3 separate regions of the Mus musculus genome follow, and regions 1 and 2 are each reported to be linked to region 3. Evidence: microRNA targets listed by miRTarBase, many of them from high-throughput screens and not tested one by one. Region 3 holds a microRNA gene; each other region holds the end of a gene's coding sequence.

Region 1 (3,367 bases), not on the chromosome of region 3:
GGCAGAAAAGGGAGGCAGCACTTTCGCTGTGGAAGTAATCTTAAAGTCCAGTGAGAAGAATAAGTCAAAAAAAAAAAAAAAAACCCACAGAGGTAAGCAGAGATCCACGAAGCACCAGGAAGGGTGAGAGATGAAAGAGGCCCCCAGATGGATGGGATGACTGTACGGACAGCCGTGCGGGAGGAGCAATGGAGCAAACAGTTTGAAAGAGAAGAAAAATGGGATTCAGCCATAAAGGCTCAAAAAACTGTTGCAGAAAGTGACAAATGGCATTGCTCTCTACGATTGTATAAGTGGAGGGCAGACAATAAATAAAAATTGAATAGAGGCTATGACAGCAGAAATCGGGATTTGGGAGAGAAAAGCGCATTGTGGGACAAAACAGATGCGTGGTGCCCCCCATACTGTTAGCAATTTAAATCTGATGGGACGAGAACTGGGAGCCACTGCGGGTTTGATTTAAAGAGGGTGAACTGGCCCAATAATGCCCAGGCAGGAGGACTCTTAATGCTGCCATCCTTCATACAGAGAGTTGATTATTAGGAGCAAGAGTTGAGTTCGTCTTTCGTTTCCCTGGCTACCACCGATGGGACTGTCTAGGGCACTCAGTGCCTCAAGTGGCAGGCAGCATAGAGAACATGACAGCTGGTTAAGACCCAAAACTGAACCCCGAGCAGAGGGGCGTTGACTACATATTAAAAGGTACTACTTTAGTTCGTAAAAAAAATTGACTATAAAGATAGCCTGACAGAGAACACCTGACTTTTCTAACAGAGAACAGAAAAACAAAAATAAAAAAAAAAAAACAAAAACAAAAAACAAAAAACAAAAAAAACCCTGAAACTGTTCCAAATCCACCTGCTTTTTTTTTGCTCTCTTCATCAAAACTTTGTTTAAGTCATCAACAACATGATCCGAGTGTAAATATTTTCAGAACTAAAAGCATCAGGTGCCATCAGATTTATATAAAGGCGTTCAGCTCCTTGGAATTACGCTAATATTGGCGACAGCTACAAAACCAGGGAGGGAACCTACTTTTCTTTGCGAAGTACTATCTTGGTACTGTGGTCAGTTTTCTGAGAGGCCTCAGCAGGTCATAGGTTTAGGTTTGCCACAGACAAACCATTTGGTCCCCACATGAAAGATGACAAAAAGTTTGGCATACGAGAGGCACATGGAAACATTCAGTGGACTAAGAAGAAATAACCATTAGTGATGCAAACACAAATACAAATATGCCTTTATTACACAAACAGGAAAAAGTACTGGTGTTTCTTCAGAGGGCACTGGTGAGCAGTCCTAAAAGCTTGGCACATTATCTAGTTTTAAAGTCTTAAAGAGCTCAAATATTTGCATCAAATAGAATTCCACTCAATAAGGACCGTTGGTTTTTTTTTTTTAATGTATTCACTAAAAGCACAAAGTTGGCATCTGCTCTTCTGTAGATGCCACGCCTCTGCCCATACAGAAGGTGCATGTGCCGACTTCATACATGTGCACATACAAACACGCCCACAAACGAGGTAAAAACAGGTGCTAATAATCTAAAAGTACTCCATGCGATCACAACTGTCAGGACGGTGGTTTTCTTCTAACTGGGTAGGGAATGTGGTAGTTTTGTTTGACCTTTCAAACTTGGAGGAAGAGGAGGAGGAGGAGGAAGAGGAGGAAGAGGAAGAGGAGGAGGAAGAGGGAGGCTGCAGGAGGCAGGATACAGTAGGAAGGCGATGAGTGTTCAGCATGCAACAAAGAGACAAGAGGCGTAGAACCCCCTCCCCGGGCCTTGCGAGGGCCTGACGGAGACACGTGTTGCCATGCAGGAGACACAGTTCAGATTTCAGTCTTGCTTTGTCATGCCTCCGATCAGAAAACATGAGAAGAAACACTGTAGATTTTTTTTCTTTTGCCTTTAAACCAGAGGTCTGGAATACATATGTTACAACTATAGCTTTTTTTTTTTTTCCTTTTTTTCTGAAGAGTTTGAGCACAGTGCTTTGCGAATAAGTCTGGCTCCTTTCTGCAACTGACTATTGTGTCACAGGACCATGTTTAAAGAGGAGAAAAGGTATTATATATATATATATATATCATAACGCAAATCAAAGTAGCAGAACGGGACAGGGTGCAAAAAAAATGTATTCAAAACTGGGGTGCACTGTATGTCAAAGGGGTGTGTGTGAATGATGGCAACCCCCAAGAATGAAGACACCAGTGCCATCAATATCATAGCACACAGAGGGGCCACACGGGATTTGCCCAACCACATTCGTTTTTCTACTTCAGTCTCTATCACTATGACCCAGAAGTGGCAGTCTTGTTATTCAGCTAGCAGCGGAAGTGGCAAAGCTGCTGGCAACCTGAGTTTACTAAGGCTTGCTGGATACCACTGTTTTTCATAGGTATCTCTGGGTAACTAACCCTCAGGTTAGTGCTTGGCGAGTCTCACTCGGAATCAATTTAAACTCAGTGTTCAGAGACTCTAGGATCTAACAAGCATCATTCTTGGAAGTTGCCCCTGAAACGTTTGCCCCTAGTTGAGTAGAAACAATAGAAAAATGGGATTCCAATTGGTTACACAGCACATCATATTTTTTTTATTATGTAAAGTACAGCTGCTTTGAATATAAACTTAGTAATCATTTATGTGACATGTTTTCCTGGATGGAAGTCAGTTACTGTTGTCTGTTCCTTCCAGCTGTGAGTCGTGAAGACCTGGTGCTTAGACAACTGTATTCTTCCATTTCTGACTTCCAAGTTACAGTCCGTCACTTCCCTTCACCTATTCTGGAAAACAGAAACATCAACATTTCGTCACTACTCACGTCCACTTCCTATGCATTGAGACATGACTTGTTGCTAAAGCTTGAAACTGTTTGAGATATTCTATCAAAAATAATGAAAATGTATCTGTAAAGGTCACAGACAGAAATCAGGCAAATCATTAGCCTTTTCAGTTTGGTAAGTAAAATGCCAATGGCATGGGAAAATAAAATCAACACAGACTGATAACCTTGGTTTGCTGGGTAAGCTCAATACAAGGCATGAGATGTTGATTTTTCAAAGCAGAAGTTATTGATCCAAGAATAATATTCTACCATGTTCACTTTAGGTTTACAGCATTCGGTTAATATAAGTGAAACAGACTTGTGATCCGGCATAGGTAAAGAGGAAGTTCTTGGGAAGGTGCCCTGAACTTTGTTCAGGGTGATCTGTACGCCGTGAGTCCAGGGTGGACATCAGAAGACACAGCCCGTAACAAGCATTTAAAAACCAAACTGTGTCGCCCGGCGTGGTGGCGCACGCCTTTAATCCCAGCACTCGGGAGGCAGAGGCAGGCGGATTTCTGAGTTCGAGGCCAGCCTGGTCT
Region 2 (3,000 bases), not on the chromosome of region 3:
GAGATTAAAGGTATGTGTGACCATGTCCAGTATATCTTTATTTTAAAAATTATGTGTGTGTCTGTGTGCATCTATACACATGAGTTCAGGTACCCTGTGGGAACCAGGAAAGGTCACTGAATCCCCAGGAGGCAGATTTACAGGATGTTGTGAGGTAACTGATGTGCTGCTGAGACACAAAGGCAGATCCTCTTGAAATGGTAGTATTAACTTTACAGCCCTGATAGTAATATTTTAAAAGGTAAGTCTGACATGGTTGCAACATAAAAGAATGAACAGCTAGTTGTGGAGCTAAGTGGTAGTAATAAATCTAACAATTTTTTATTCAAGTTAAAAGAACAGAAACTATTTAATTCATACCAACAGAGAACACATTCTTTATGTCATAAATACTTTTGTCCATCAAATCTCTTCTATGGATATCTAGGGTATCCCAATACAAACTTTGGATTAATGTTGCAGAATTTTCCTAGTTATATAATAAATTGTCCATTAAAAGGTCTTAAAAATTAATGAACAGTCATCATTAAATTACTGGCTAAAAACTATAATGATTTAAACTTTACAGTGGATTAAAACCAAGTAAATATTTACTCTGTTTCTCTTTACATAATGTTCTGAATTGAATGAGTCTCCTATAGGCTCACATATTTGAAACTTTGTTCACCAGTTGGGAAGGTTATGGTACAGGTCATTGTACAAACTCTGTTGGAGGAATTATTCCACCAGCAACAGGCATTGGGAGTGTCTTGCCACACTTCCAGCTGGCTCTTTCTGCGTCATGTGTACAGCATAATAGAAAGCATGATTTCTTGGCTTCCTGATCCTGCTACCATGCATCCCTGCCATGGTGCACACTTTCTTATCCCTCTGGAACTGTAAGCCAAAATAAACTCTTCTATTTATAAATTGCTTCTGGTCATGGTGCTTAATCGCAGCAACAGAGAAGTAACTAACGTAGAAGATGTTACTAGAGAGTGAGCTATTAAATCAGGCAGCAAAGCTGGAGGAGTTAAGCCATCCAAACCCTCGGAAAGTAGTCCCAGACATCCCACATAGAGCTACAGGATTTGCTTATATGTATGCCTTGTGAGCTTTCAGTCTCTCTGTAGTCCAGTATTTCCTCATCATGTCCCCCTTCCTCCCTTCTAAAATGATAATGTGTAACCTGTGCCATCGTATGTTGGAAGTATATTATTTGCTTTTAGATCTTATCAGTGGCTAGAGATTGTCTCGAGTCTCACAAGATATGCTGGACTTTGAAATTTCAAATAGTATTGAGATTGAGAAAGACCATGGGCACTTTAAGCATCAGAGTAAATACATTTTGCATTATGATATGGCCATAAGTCTATGGAAGCCAGGGAGAGGAATGCAGTGGTCTGAACGAGACATTTTTCCATAGACTCATGTACTTGAATAATTGTTTCCCAGTTGGTGGTGCCTTATGGAGAAGGTATGGAGATATGCAACCTTACTAAATGAAGTATGTCACTGGCTTTGAGAGCTTCTAGGTCTGTTACACTGGCAGCCTGTTCTTTCTGCTTTGTGTGTGTCATTAAACATGTACCAGCTACCTGCTCTTGCTGCCACACCTCCCCACCATGATGGAGCCCTCATTTCCCTGGAACCATAAACCAAAATACTTTCTTTCTTCCATAAGTCACTTTTGAGCACGGTTATTTATCATAGAAACAGAAAAAATAACTAATGTGCATAACAACCCCCACCCCCAAATCATAGAAAATGAGCTGGGTATGGTGGTATATACTTAGAGACCAATGCTGGAGGCTCACTGAGTTTCAGGGAACTCTGGGCTATATATTTCTGCCCTGTCTCTAAAATAAACAAGCAAAACAACAACAGCAACGAAACAAAACAGAGGCTAGACACATGGCTCAGGAGTTAAGAGCACTGGCTGGTCTTCTAGAAGAAATGGGTTTGAATTCTAGTATCCACATGTTGGCTCCCAATTGTCTATAGCTCTAGTTCCTGGGGAATCCAATGTCCTCTTCTGGCCTCTGTAGGCACCAGACACACAAGTGAGTACACAATTTAACATGCAGGCAAAACAACCATACATACAAAATAGAAATAATTTTCAAAAATCCCATGGAAATTGTATAGTCTATCTTGTGATACTTAAAATAAGATGGTCTGGGTTATGCGAACATATTAAATGAACATGCTTTCCTGTTTTTATTTTTACAAAATCAAAATTCATCACAGACAATAATTGAAAGTTACTTTCAATAAGTAAAAACAAAGCCTTTATACATTATTCTGACAAAATTACTTTACTTAGCATTACTTTGGTGCTAGATGTTTGCTCTAATATTTGCGGAAGATGTATAATATACAGAAAACTAATGCTAGCTTTGCCAAAGACATCTAGAAAAATATGTCCCTCACACTTTTACACACAATATATAGAACTATAAAATCTGCCAATGTGGAAATTCCTTGGAATTTCGCAATGCACTGTGAAATACACAAGGCAAAAGAAAGCATCTTATAGAAATGATGTCCAAACATCCTGTCATGTATGATGTTTTTGTAACTGGAATACACCTTATCTATAGACACACACACAAATGATGGCTCAGAAATATGTGGAGGAACAGAAGCACCAGTTATTTAAGTTACACTTGATCACGAAGACGAGCAAGCCTCTGTGACAGTTCATCCTAGGGGAAGCCAAATTTACAAATTATCAAAGGCTGTAACAAATATTAGCCACAAAATTTTAATCCTCTTCCATTGTAAATAGAATTTAAAAGCTTATGAAATTTATATAAATGTTAGGCAATTAGTTTTTTAAATATCTCAAAAGAAACTGCATTTAGAGCAGTATGAAGGTTAGCAAAACAATGTAAGAAATGAAATGTGCATGCAAATTGAAAATGCCCACCATTACAGAGCTAATGGTTTCTCATATTTTCTTCATTTATAATGATGTATCATGGTAGAAAAATATTCTTCATAAAAATGTGAATATGT
Region 3 (3,367 bases):
TCATGAAGTTAAACATGAATTTGAACTCCAGATCCTCCTGACTCTGGCAAATGGTTTGCATCTGATTAATGAGATGTTTCCTGTCCCATGAATATGCACTCTATAAAACTCTAAGCACATATAAATCAAATGGATGATTGCCATGTGTATTTGTGTACACATGTATGTGTCCATATATGTGTATATATATGCATATACATATACCCACATGTACAAGCACACTTACCTATAGACATATACACGTACACAGAGGCAAAAACATAAATTACAGCCTTATCTATAACTCATCATGAAGTTAAACATTAATTTGAACTTCATATCCTCCTGACTCTGGCAAGAGTATTCACCTCCTAACTGAGGCATAGCTCTGGACCAGTACTGCATAAGCTCTAAATCTCTGAGTCACATAACATTCAAAAAAATATATGAGTGACATTCGTGTATGTGCATGAGTATATATGCATATTCATGTATAAAAGTGAATATGCACACAACTATACTCACATGCACATATTTGGAGGACATCACACGAATCGCATGCTGATCTCTAACTCAATGTGAGTTAAACATGAATTTGAACTCGTCATCCTCCTGACTCTGGCAAGAGTGCTCACCTCCTAACTGAGACATAGCTCTGGCCATTCCTATGAATGTGTGTGCATGCGTGTATATGCATATTCATATACAGAAGTGAATATGCACACAACTATACACACTTGCACATTTTTGGTGGGCATAAGATGAATCCCATGCTAATCATGAACTCATCATGAAATTCAGCACGAATTTGAACTCCTGATCCAACTGACACTGTCAAGGGATTTCACCTGCTGAGTGAGACCTCTCCCCATTCAGTACTGAGGAATCTTAAAACTCTAAATCACATATCATTCAAATGGATCGATGAGTTGCACTGATGTTTGTGTGTGTGTTTCTGTTTGTGTCTGTGTACATGTATATATTTGTGTAGATAGGTACATCCATATACTCAAATCCACACACAATAGAAACAGATACAGATAGAGATACATAGGGGGCATCACATGAATCCCAGGCATATCTCTAAGTCATCATGAAGTAAAGCATGAATTAGAACTCCTGATCCACAATCTTTCACACCTGGTGAGTAAAACCATTCACTGTCCCACTACTGCATAATCTTGAAAACTTTAAGTCACACATCATTCAAACGTATAAATGAATGCAATTTTTTCCTGTGTGTGTGTGTGCTTGCATATACACGTGTGTTTATGTTATATATAGCATGTCAACAGAGATAATGCACATACAAGTAAACACACATGCACATTCATGGGAGGCATCACATGAATACCAGGATGATCTCTAACTGAATTAAGCATGAATTTGCAATCTTTATCCTCCTGACTTTGTCAATCTTTTACACCTGGTGAGTGAGGACATTCAATGTCCCCTATTGCATAATCGCTAAAACTCTACATCACTTATCATTCAAAGGGATTGGCGAATGCCATTCCTGTATCTGTGTATGTGTGCTTGCGTTTATACGTGTGTGTGTATGTTATGTATATTCAAATATAGACATGAACATGCACACACAACTATACACACATGCACATACATGGAGGAATCACAGGCTGATCTCTCATGAGGATAAGTATGAATTTGAACTCCTGATACTCTTAACTCTAGCAAGCATTTTCACTCTAAGTCACTTATCACTCAAATGGATTGATGAGTGCCATTCCCATGTGTCTGTGTGCTCATATGTGTCTTATGTGTGCGTGTATGTATTTGTATATCATATTCACACATGTACATGTACACACACATCAACACATATACACATACACAGGGGCAATCACATGAATGCCAGGATGACCTCTAACTCATCATGCCTTTACTATGAACTTGCACTCCTGATCTTCCCGACTCTACCAAGGGTTTTCCCGTGGTTTGTGAGACCTCACCCTGGCCCAGTCATACATAACCTCCAAAGCAGTAGGTCACATATCATTCAAATGGATCCGTGAAGGCCATTTCCGCATGTCTGTGTGCATGTGTGTGTAGGTGTGTGTATGTATATGCATAAAATATACACGCATATACATGCAGGCACTTACGCACACGGGCACATACATAGGGGCCATCACATTATTCCAGGATGATCTCTAACTGCTCATGAAGTTAAGCATGAAATTGAACTCCTGATCCTCCTGACACTGCCAATTATTTACACCTGGTGAGTGAGACCTTCACTGTCCCTCTACTTTATAATCAGCAAAATTCTAAGACATATATCATTCAAATGGATCAATGAGTGTCATTCTTATGTGTGTGAGTGTGCACGCCTGTGTGTGTGAATACATTTGTATGTGTGTGTATTTATATGTATGATCATATACACACATGTACGTGCACACACAATTATATGCACTTGTGCATACCTAGGATCCATCACACAAATACAGGGTGATCTCTAACTCATTATGAAGTTAAGCATGAATTTGAACTCCTGAGACTCCTAACTCTGGCAAGTGGTTTTCATCTGATAAGTGAGATTATTCCCTATACCATGAATATACACTCAATGAAATTATAAGCACGTATAAATCAAATGGATGACTGCCATGTGTGTATGTGTGCACATGTATGTGTCCCTAGTTGTGTGGGTGTGTATATATATATATATATATATATATATATATATATATATATATGCATGCTCATATACGCGCATGTACAGGCACACTTCCTTTTACACATAAACACATACACAGGGAAAAATCACATGAATTCTGGACTGATCTCTAACTCACCATAAAGATGAACATGAATTTGAACTACTCATCCTCATGATGCTGGCAAGAGTATTCACCTCCTAACTGAGTCAAAGATCTGGCCATTAGTGTGAGTATGTTTGCATGTGAGTATATGCATATTCATGTAGAGAAGTGAATATGTACACAACTATACACACATGCACATTCTTCGTGGGCATCACATGAATCGCATGCTGAACACTAACACATCAAGAAGTTAAACATGAATTTGAACTCCTCATCCTCCTAGCTCTGGCAAGCATACTCACCGCCTAACTGAGACATAGCTCTGGCCATTCCTATGAATGTGTTTGCATGCGTGTATATGCATATTCATATAGAGAAGTGAATATGCACACAACTATACACACATGCACATTTTTGGTGGGCATAAGATGAATCCCATGCTGATCATGAACTCATCATGAAATTCAGCACGAATTTGAACTCCTTATCCACCTGACTCTGTCAAGGGACTTCACCTGCTGAGTGAGACCTCTCCCCATTCAGTACTGAGGAATCTTAAAACTCTAAGTCACACGTCATTCAAATGGATCGATGAGTTG

What was found. The annotated mature microRNA mmu-miR-669o-3p reads ACAUAACAUACACACACACGUAU and lies in region 3 at 1,524-1,546, opposite strand. An mRNA with a match to its seed (bases 2 to 7 or 8) in the 3' UTR can be bound and repressed. Matches are read on the target gene's strand: a 7mer-m8 pairs with bases 2 to 8, a 7mer-A1 pairs with bases 2 to 7 and ends in A, and an 8mer does both.
Region 1: the mRNA of Cd47 is a reported target of mmu-miR-669o-3p. Seed matches in the 3' UTR shown: 7mer-A1 at 2,088-2,094.
Region 2: the mRNA of 2610002M06Rik is a reported target of mmu-miR-669o-3p. Seed matches in the 3' UTR shown: 7mer-m8 at 1,716-1,722.

The regions. Positions count from the first base shown.
Region 1 is chr16:49,910,286-49,913,652 of GRCm38, reverse strand. It overlaps Cd47 (CD47 antigen (Rh-related antigen, integrin-associated signal transducer)), which reads right to left. Exons shown (of 9, transcript NM_001368415.1): 9 at 1,225-2,784. The coding sequence ends at 2,776. Among named protein-coding and RNA genes, the nearest start is that of Gm19723, 44 kb to the left of the region's middle.
Region 2 is chrX:107,785,167-107,788,166 of GRCm38, forward strand. 2610002M06Rik (RIKEN cDNA 2610002M06 gene) reads right to left here. Exons shown (of 8, transcript NM_025921.3): 8 at 1-2,687. The coding sequence ends at 2,643. Among named protein-coding and RNA genes, the nearest start is that of 2610002M06Rik, 30 kb to the right of the region's middle.
Region 3 is chr2:10,502,021-10,505,387 of GRCm38, reverse strand. Mir669a-12 (microRNA 669a-12) reads right to left here and starts at 1,597; the gene lies at 1,511-1,597. The region is part of intron 10 of Sfmbt2 (Scm-like with four mbt domains 2); the gene reads right to left. Mir467a-10 (microRNA 467a-10) reads right to left here and starts at 2,115; the gene lies at 2,033-2,115. Mir466b-3 (microRNA 466b-3) reads right to left here and starts at 1,823; the gene lies at 1,743-1,823.